2 linked regions of the Cricetulus griseus genome follow. The protein of the gene in region 1 purifies or fractionates together with the protein of each later gene. This does not show direct contact. Links are inferred from orthologs where the notes say so. Each region holds a gene or a part of one and is shown on either strand. Other genes may lie near its edges. The genes, in order: Klc1 and Kif5c.

What was found.
Region 2: the proteins of Klc1 (region 1) and Kif5c purify together in Homo sapiens (co-immunoprecipitation; 4 studies listed by BioGRID and IntAct, counting the BioPlex papers as one, with this or other methods). This does not show direct contact. The link is inferred for Cricetulus griseus from reciprocal best matches to the Homo sapiens genes KLC1 and KIF5C.

The regions. Positions count from the first base shown.
Region 1 is NC_048598.1:182,278,966-182,283,387, reverse strand, and holds the start of Klc1 (kinesin light chain 1), read left to right. Parts: upstream 1-1,571; 5' UTR 1,572-1,623; coding exon 1,624-1,730; intron 1,731-4,422. UniProt on the Homo sapiens protein: Kinesin is a microtubule-associated force-producing protein that may play a role in organelle transport. The light chain may function in coupling of cargo to the heavy chain or in the modulation of its ATPase activity.
Region 2 is NC_048599.1:124,678,141-124,682,544, reverse strand, and holds the start of Kif5c (kinesin heavy chain), read left to right. Parts: upstream 1-1,485; coding exon 1,486-1,611; intron 1,612-4,404. UniProt on the Homo sapiens protein: Microtubule-associated force-producing protein that may play a role in organelle transport. Has ATPase activity. Involved in synaptic transmission. Mediates dendritic trafficking of mRNAs.

The sequences.
Region 1 (4,422 bases):
AGGTGAGGGCAGCTATGGACAGGGTGATAGCACAACCAGGTCCCGTGGGCCTTGTAGACCATAGACCAAGCTAAGGAGTTTTACCCTGGCGCTGAGAGGGGTGTGTGGCTGTGGCAGCGTTGGTCTTTTATTTTTGTTTTTTCAAGACAGGATTTCTCTGTGTAACATCTGTGGTTGTTTTGGAGCTTGCTTTGTAGACCAGGCTGGTCTCAAACTCACAGAGATCCACCTGCCTCAGCCTCCCTAGTGCTGGAATGAAAGGCATGCGCCACCACTTCCACACCTAGCTAAGTCTTTTCTCCCCCTACAACACAACAGGGATCAACCTGTCTCAGGATTTTCCTGCAGCGTTCTGTGCTGGCTTCGTGGGTCCATTCCTTCGTCTATTTTCGCTGTCAGCACACTTTTCCGACCTTGGGGTTTGGGCTGTGTACCCTTTCCCCGTCACCTGCCTGTTTTTCCGTTTTGGCAAGTCTTGCTGCACCCTCACTGGAATGGCAGACACCATCTGCCACTTTACACACCTGGGTCTTCCCATGAGGACCGTGGGAGCTTAGTGGACTTCAGTTGAAGGGGCAAAAGAACGAGATGCTAAAGCATGAATAAAGTGACGGCAAGAGACAGAAGAAAAAAAAAAAAAGAGGCGTGCGGGTATCCAGGGCTCTGAGGGGGCAGATGGGCGGACGGAAGTGGGCTCCTGCTTAGCCTGTTCTTTCTTTCCTAGGGCACCTGGCCAGGAGCAGGCGTCTTGACTGAACAAGCGGCGACACAACATCCAAGCAGTAGTTTGTGTGCCGGGGCTTTACTTGACCGTGACCCACAGCCTCTCTTTAGGCCAATCTGAGCTGCTGTGTTCTCCACAGGAGCTGTCCCTTATTAACCAGTCTGATTTTTTGTGTTTTTTTTGTTTGTTTGTTTTTTTGGATGTCAAAGTAACTGGATCGGCCGGTTCAGACCGAAAGCACGTGCCTCCCTGATGCTGACAGGTGTCAGTCAGGGCTGCGGAGCACAGCAGGTGCCGGGCGATGCCAGCAGAAACCGAGGCGGGTCCCACGGAGGGGAGGCTGGCGTTGGCAGCCCAGACCCCTCAGTAATGTCCCCGGGCTCCCCGGGGACGTCTGCGGGCACCGGGAGGGCTCCCGAGCCGGTCTAGGCGAGCCGGGCCTGGCCCTGACTCAGCGTGCCCTCCCGCCTGCCGCTGACTCAGGCCTGCAGCTGCGTGCCAGGCGGCTGTGTGCGGCCCGGGAGCCGCCGGAGCCGAGCTGGACAGCTTGCTTGCCCTTCGGCCCAGGCTGGAGGTCGACGGGCGAGCCACCCTGCGCGGCTCGCCCCCGCTCGCCTGGCATCCTTGCCGTCCTCTGTCCCTCGAGGGGCGAGTCTCAGAGGAGCGCGCGGGGGGTGGGGGGGGACCACAGGCTTCTGGAGAGAGCCGGATTGCCGACCCCTTGCCCAGCCGCTCGCCGGCTCGCCCGCCCGCCTCAGTTTCCCCGCAGCCCCGCCCGGCGGCGGGGAGGGCGGGTGACGTCACGGCGCGCGGCATTGTGGGGCGGGCGCGGCGCCGGCGACGCCATTTTCGGCGGCGGAGCGGTGGCGCGAGGCTGCGGAGCGCGGCTCGGGGCGAGGATGCTGCGGGCGCGGCCGCGGAGGCGCTGCTTGCTGCTGAGGCGGCCGGGGCTCTGCGCGGCCTGGGCCCGTGACAGCGCGACGAGCGCGGCGCTCCCGACCGGACGGTGAGTGCGCGGCCCCGTCCCCCCCGCCCCGCCCCGCTCGCTCGCTCGCCCGCTCGCCCGCATCCTCCAGGCCGAGGCTCCCGGGCCTCCCCGTGTTCCCCCCGTGCAGCGCCGTGCAGAGCCGCATCCGCACCCCGCCCTCCCGGGCTGCATCCCGGACTCCTCCCCGCTCCACCCGTGCCCGGTCCGCGCTCCGCTCACCCCGTGCCCGGTCCCCTCCCTGCTCACCCCGTGCCCGGTCCGCGCTCCGCTCACCCCGTGCCCGGTCCCCTCCCTGCTCACCCCGTGCCCGGGTCCCCTCCTCGTTCCGCCCGTGCCCGGGTCCCCTCCTCGCTCCGCCCGTGCCCGGGTCCCCTCCTCGCTCCCGGGTCCCGCTGCCCGTGCCCGTCCCCTCCTCGCTCCGCCCGTGCCCGGGTCCCCTCCCCGCTCACCCCGTGCCCGGTCCCCTCCCTGCTCACCCCGTGCCCGGTCCCCTCCCCGCCCCGCTCACCCCGTGCCCGTCCTCCCGGGTTCCTGTCGCCCCTCCGCTGGCCCCTCTCCAGCTCCCCGAGCTCCTGCAGGACGCGGCCCGTGTCCCCGGCTACCTGCGCCCCTGCTTTGGGCTCCTGCCCTGTCCCTGTCCCTGTCCCTGTCCGCGATCTTTGTCATCTCTCTGCGCCTGTCCCCTCCGCCCCGGACCCTCCAGGCTCGGGGCTCGGTCCTCCCCGCTGCACCTTGGGCTCGGGCCCCTGCCCCTTCCGCCCTCCTCCGCTCCACTCCTGTCCCATCTGTGTTAGGGCCCCGCCCTGACTCAGGCCCCGCGGTGCAGACGTCCTTTTAATGGCAGCTGTGGGCTTAGGGTCCCAAAGCGTTGATGCTGAGGTCCCGGGGAGACGGCGGTGGCGTGTGTCCCGGGTCACCCGGCTGGCTTTGTCTTAGGCCTCCCCGCCCTTCCAGCCCCCACCTCTCCTCGGCACCGCCCTGGGCGGCGTGCTGTCATGCTGTGGTCTGTGGCCAGGGGCCAGCCTGCCTTTTCTTTCAGTGGCCGGGTGTGGAATCTCCCTGGCGACCTGAAGGTGGCCAGCATGGGGTGCTTTTCCTTGTTACATATGGAGCCCCCTCCCATAAAAAAATTAAAGCGTTTAAAAAGTAATACTGGTGTGTGATGGAGTGGATGGCATGACCACGAACTTTGCAGGCCATTTCCAGGTGTATTGTGTTGGAATTGTCACTTTCGGCTACTGTCTTATTATTTAAACAGTTGGAAATTTACATATTAAGTGGTGATCTGGTGTACTTGCAAAAATGATATCTTTAGAGAGGCCAGGGAGGTGGTGGCCAAAACCTTTGAGGCCAGTAGATCTCCAGAGGGAGTTCAGGGCAGCCAGGGCTATACAGAAACACCAGGGGGTGCAGGGAGACTGAGAACAAAAAATTATGTACTATTTAAACTGCTATGTAGAGGGGTAGTTGCATTTTTGATTCTTTGCGTTACTTAAATTCCAAGGCTTTTTATACAGCATGACTAAGCCTCAGATCAGAATTAGCCGGAATGCGTTGTGATGGGACTATGAAAACCCCACTGGGAAACTGGACCAAGCTGGAGTCTCCTAAGCCTGCTACATGGACTGCCCACTAGCCTCAGTTGTAGGAAATTTGACTTACTGTTCTGTGCTCTATGTGTTTGTAACAGTGCAGTGGCACTATTTAAAGAGTTGGTGTTTATGTGGGCCACCTCCAGATCATCCAGCCTTGGCCCTGTGTGGAACCAAGAGGGCTGGAACCTAGTGGTGACCTCCCGACAGCACCTGGCTTGGCAGTGCATTTTATTTATTTATTTATTTATTTATTTATTTATCTATCTATTTATCTTTTGGTGTAGCTTTGGAGGCTGTCCTGGCACTCGATCTGTAGACCAGACTGGTCTCAAACTCACAGAGATCCTCCTGCCTCTGCCTCCTGAGTGCTGGGATTAAAGGCGTGCGCCACCACCGCCCAGCCTTTGGCAGTGCATTTTAAAAGCAATCATCAAGAAGGGAATAACTCTTGCCCCTCCACTCGGGAGGCTGGGGCAGGAGAGCCACCAGTAAAAAGTCTGTCCCTGCTACATATGTCCCTTCTCATATCAACAAAAACAAAGTGTAGACATGCATGGAAGCCAGTCCTGGATTTTTCCAGGTGCAAAGATGGAAGAGCTGAGGTACATACATCTTAAATAATCCATAGTAAATAAAGTCAGGCAGAAGATGTTGCTGGGGGTAGGGTACTAGCCTAACATTGAAAAGGTCCCGTTTCCTCAGTTCGAGAACAAACAAATCAATAGTACTCTCAATTTCAATGTTTCTATTTTTAAAAATTAATACATTCTTGGGACTAGAGAGATGGTTCAGTTGTTAAGAGCAATTACTGTACTTTCAGAGGGACACAGGTTTGGTTCCCAACACCCAGCTTAAGACTGTCTCCAACTCCAGTTCCAGGTAGTCTGGTGCACAGGAAAATTATGCAAGAGTACACATAAATAATAAATCTTTAAAAAATTAAACATTTTAAAGCATGTATTTTTAGGTTGGGAAAAATGAAAATCTCTGGCTGGGCGTTGGTGGCGCACGCCGTTAATCCCAGTACTCAGGAGACAGAGGCAGTTGGATCTCTGTGAGTTCTAGACCAGCCTGGTCTACAAGAGCTAGTTCCAGGACAGCCTCCAAAGCCACAG
Region 2 (4,404 bases), on another chromosome or scaffold:
CCCTCAGGCAGAGACCTAGTAGCCCACCCTTACTCTTGTTTGGTTGTTTAGTACCTTCTTGAATAAATAAGTAAGGCCATTTGTAGTCTAATAAGTTCTCCTTTTACTTCAGTGGCTCTGGTCATGTTCCTATCAACTCTGATAAGGTCCCCAAGCCACTGATGGATGGGAGTAGGTCGGTCTGGCAGAGCAAATGGCCTAAAGAAATATCAGAAAAAAGCAGGACTGTTGAATGAAAGAAGTCTCAAGAATTTGGTACCTGTTAGATTGTAAGCATCAAGATGGGAAGTTACAGGAGAGGAGGGAGCCTAAACATATAGGGATAAATATGATTATGGGGGCCTAGGCCTCTCAAGAACTTTGGATTTGATCTTCTATATATTCTGTTCATTCTGCAGGATTCTAAACAGAATTAAAAATTGATCTATGATTCGTTGTAACTGAACTTTTTTTTTTTTTTTTTTTTTTTTTTTTTGGTCCCAAACTGCCTTCTGAGTGTTGGGATTCCAAGTATGCACCGCCACACTTGGTTGAAAGGTTCCTGACTTGGGACTCAAAAGCCAGTTTCAATGTCCAAGCTCTATAGCAGCATGCTAAATATGTGTGGATTTGTGTTTTGACTTAGTTTTGCAGTGATAAAGTCCTGGACTTTCATCGAATATGAGCTGTTATGAACTACCTATGTATAGGCATTTCCAGGTATAATTGGCTTCCATGCAAATCTCATTTCTTTCCTGTTTTCCTCTTGCAAAAACTACTACGCTGAGAAACACTCTATAGATGTTCAGTTGTACACTGTATTGATGAGTATTTTTTCTTTGGGATCAGGAAAAGATGTGACCTGTATTTTTATAATTTACCGGGGATATTAACTATGACTTCCGTTCAGTTCTTGACTTAGGCAGGCACATCAGTCCTGCAGCTCCCCGGGCGTGGGTGGCAGTGTGTGTGGGGTGTCCTAACAAATAAATCCAAGCATCCTTGCCCTCCCACCTGTAGGTCAGAGTCCGACTACAAATCCCGGAATGCGCCGCGCTCACACCCAGGGTGGGGCGGGCTCTGCAGTGACGTTACCGTACCGAGGCGGGGCAGAGGGGCGGTCCTGGAGGTGCCGGAGCGCCCTGGTGCTGATGCAGGATGGCTGAGTGCGCCGGAGCCCGGGAGGTCTGAGCTGGGAGGGGATCGTTCCCTGCGCATCGCCTCGTCCGCCCGCCGCGTGGTCGCGGGCAGGTGGGCCAGGGCTCAGGACTTGGCTGGAGGTCAGCAGCGGGGTGGGGGGCGGGGGGCAGCTAATAGGCTGCTCTCCTTCCCGGTGGCGGAGCTGCCCGGCTGTCCAGCGCAGGCTCGCCATGACCTGCTGAGAAGCTGCGGGAGGCTGCGGGAGGCGGCCTAGCTGCGGGCAGCGGTTGGTTCGCGGCCTCCTCGGTGGCGCTGCCCAGCCCGGCCCCCCACCCATCCCCGTGTCCCCTCCTGCAGCGTCCCGAGATGGCGGATCCAGCCGAATGCAGCATCAAAGTGATGTGCCGGTTCCGGCCCCTCAACGAAGCGGAGATCCTCCGCGGGGACAAATTCATCCCCAAATTCAAAGGCGACGAGACGGTGGTGATCGGGGTAAGTGGCCTTGGTGTCTCGCCCCTTCATTCGGCTTTGCACCGCAGAAATCTTCCGGACGCCTCCTCGGACATCCCCGCGGGGCTGAGCTCGAGGGTGGACCCGACGACAGCCCTTGGCCGGTGACTCCCTCCTGGCAGTGGTGGCACCGGGCGGCGGGGGCGTGCGAGGGCCGCCATTGTTCGTGGGTGGGGGCTCGGGTGGGCCTATTGTTCCCACGCTCGCCTCCGCGTGGGCAGTGTTTCGGATTGCCCAGCAAGCCGGGATCCCCAGGCCTTGGTCAAAAGTATAAGCTCCACAACCCACAGATGCATCCAGGCTAAGGTTTGTGTGAGACCTTAGCCAAAAAGGTAGGGAGGCAAGGTGCAAGAAAAACAAAATCCTCGCCTGGGCCGTGTATAGCCGGTTTCACCTTGCTCCCCGTGGGGAAGGTGAGGGGTGCTCTTGTTATCCCTGGGAGGTCTCTTTGTCTCTTGCTTCCTATCACCCCAAATTGTCCTAGATTTGTGCTTTGTCTGCTGGATGTCCCCTTCCCCCAGATCCTCTCTTCTGAGTGTCCACACAGTCTGATAGGTTTCGCTCTGGGTGAAGGGGAGACTGTCCAATCTTCGGAGAGAGGGAGTCCCTAAATAGCCCCTCTGTGTCAAGAGCAGAAGTTACTTTAGCATATCTAGGGTCTCCACTTTGATCACCCCCCCCCCAACTTAGCTCTGTCCCTGCAGTCTGGCTGCTGCTGGAACGGGGAGGGAAAACTAATGGCTTATAGTTCTTAATGGAATATACCAAATGAAATAAACTAGTCTTGCCCCCACCCCTTTTCTTAATCTGCTCTCCCTGTAGTGTGTGGCCCACGGTGCCCTCTTTGTATTCGAGCCGCGTGGGAAGGGAGTGAGTTAATGCGAGCCTCTAGGTCCCCACTGATACGTTCCTGGCAGCCAGCTCCAGGCTGCTGATGCAGCCTTCCCGACTCCAGCATTGATTAAGTGATGTCATCTCCATCACTGAGCATGCTCGGACTACCCCCCCCCCCACTCCCCCAGTGATTCCAGTACTGTTGTATTTAGGTCAAGTGATTGACAGGTGACAGTTTTCTGAGAGTGTAGCTAGAGAACACCTAGCCCTTCCCAAGCATGAGGCCTGTGTTTCTCCACCTAGGCTGCCCCCAGCATCTTTGGCAAGGTTGTCTGCTGCAGTCACTGTAAAGGGACTTTGGACAAGGAGGTGCTAGTTGTACTGGTAGGCGGGTATTTTCCTGTGTAGGGGATTAGAGTCCAAGCCTTGGCCTGGGGGCTTCATCTTGAATCTTGCTTAAGAAGGCACTTTTCCCCCCTGCAGAGCATGGCCACTTCCCTCCCGGTTTTCACAGCTAAAGGAAAATGCAGACCTCTGAATGCTGTGTGCATGGGCAGTCACTCATTCTGGTACCTGATCTATGAGAGTAGGAAAGGGATTTTTTTTTTCTTTGCCTAGTGTTAACATGCAGAAAAGAAGTGTGCTACAATTATTGATGAGGAAATTCTATACTTAATGGCATATATAGGCTAGTGATATATTCATGGCAGCCTGGAGCTAGTGTTACAGCTTCTAGCAGGAGATCCATCATAGTCTGATCTGTCTTTCCTGAGTGAGGCGTGGTTCAAGTACAGTGGCAGTTGCTAGGTACTTCTAGTCCCTTCCTCTTGGCTTGTAACAATTTTTAAAGTAACCATTGTTTCAGCTACTGAAAATGTTCTGGTGACCTTGTGTTTTGTTTTGTTTTTCTTCTCCTGATGCTTTAAAGGGCCTGAAGTTCTTCCCATATCTCCTTCTCCTCCCCCACCTTTCTTCTCTTCTACAAGGATCAGTGAAGTAGAGTAATAAATCCTCTTAGTTGTGCAAGCAAAGATTAATTTTAGTACTATTTACTATGAGTCTATGCTTATTCTCTGCCTAAATGTACACATGTAATACTAAGTTAAAGCAACCAGATACAGAAAAATTTTAACAGAAAGTTATGCATGTGAACATACATCCTGCACTTTATTTTTAAGGTTTTTGCTCATCCTACTATATTTGTTTAATGTAATAAATGTCTTTTAAAGATAATTACTGAAACAAAGCATCATATAGAGAAGTGTTATCGATTAGCTTGATGGCTTTTCAAAGTATGGGTTCCCAATAACCATCTTTCAGAGTAAGAAACAGGCATTTTCAGGACCTTAGAGGTTTCTCTGTTGTCACCAGTCCCCCAAGCCCCAGGGGAACCATTATTTTCATTTCAATATCACTTATAAATTTTGCTTGTTTTTCTTTACAGTAGGCTTTCTGTTGCGTTTCTAGCAACTGACATTGCAATGCTATGCTTGTCAAGTTGGTCTTGTTTGCAGTGGTGTTCTACCAGATTAATATACCTAAATGTATTTATTCCTTAGATTTTTTTTTTTAAAAGAGGATCTAGCTTTGTAGCCCAGGCTGGCTTTGACTTCACGATTCCCCTGCTTTAGCCCTCACAATACTGCAATTATAGGTGTGTGCCACCAAGCCCTGTAGCTGTTGGGACATAGCTGGCCTGCTTCCATTCGGGGCTAGCTTGTGTGGTGAACATTGCTTTGTGCATCTTTTGGTTCATGAGCATATAGAACAGACCAGTCTCAGATGCTGATTTGTGTTGCCTTGGCCTTAAGACCTTTCCCATTCCTAATTATTAATGTAGGTGTAAATTCAGTCTGGCAGTGTATATGACTCAGACATACATAGAAATGGCCTCAGTGGGTACATGGTGAGGATGCCCAAAGAACCTAGAACTGAGAGCCA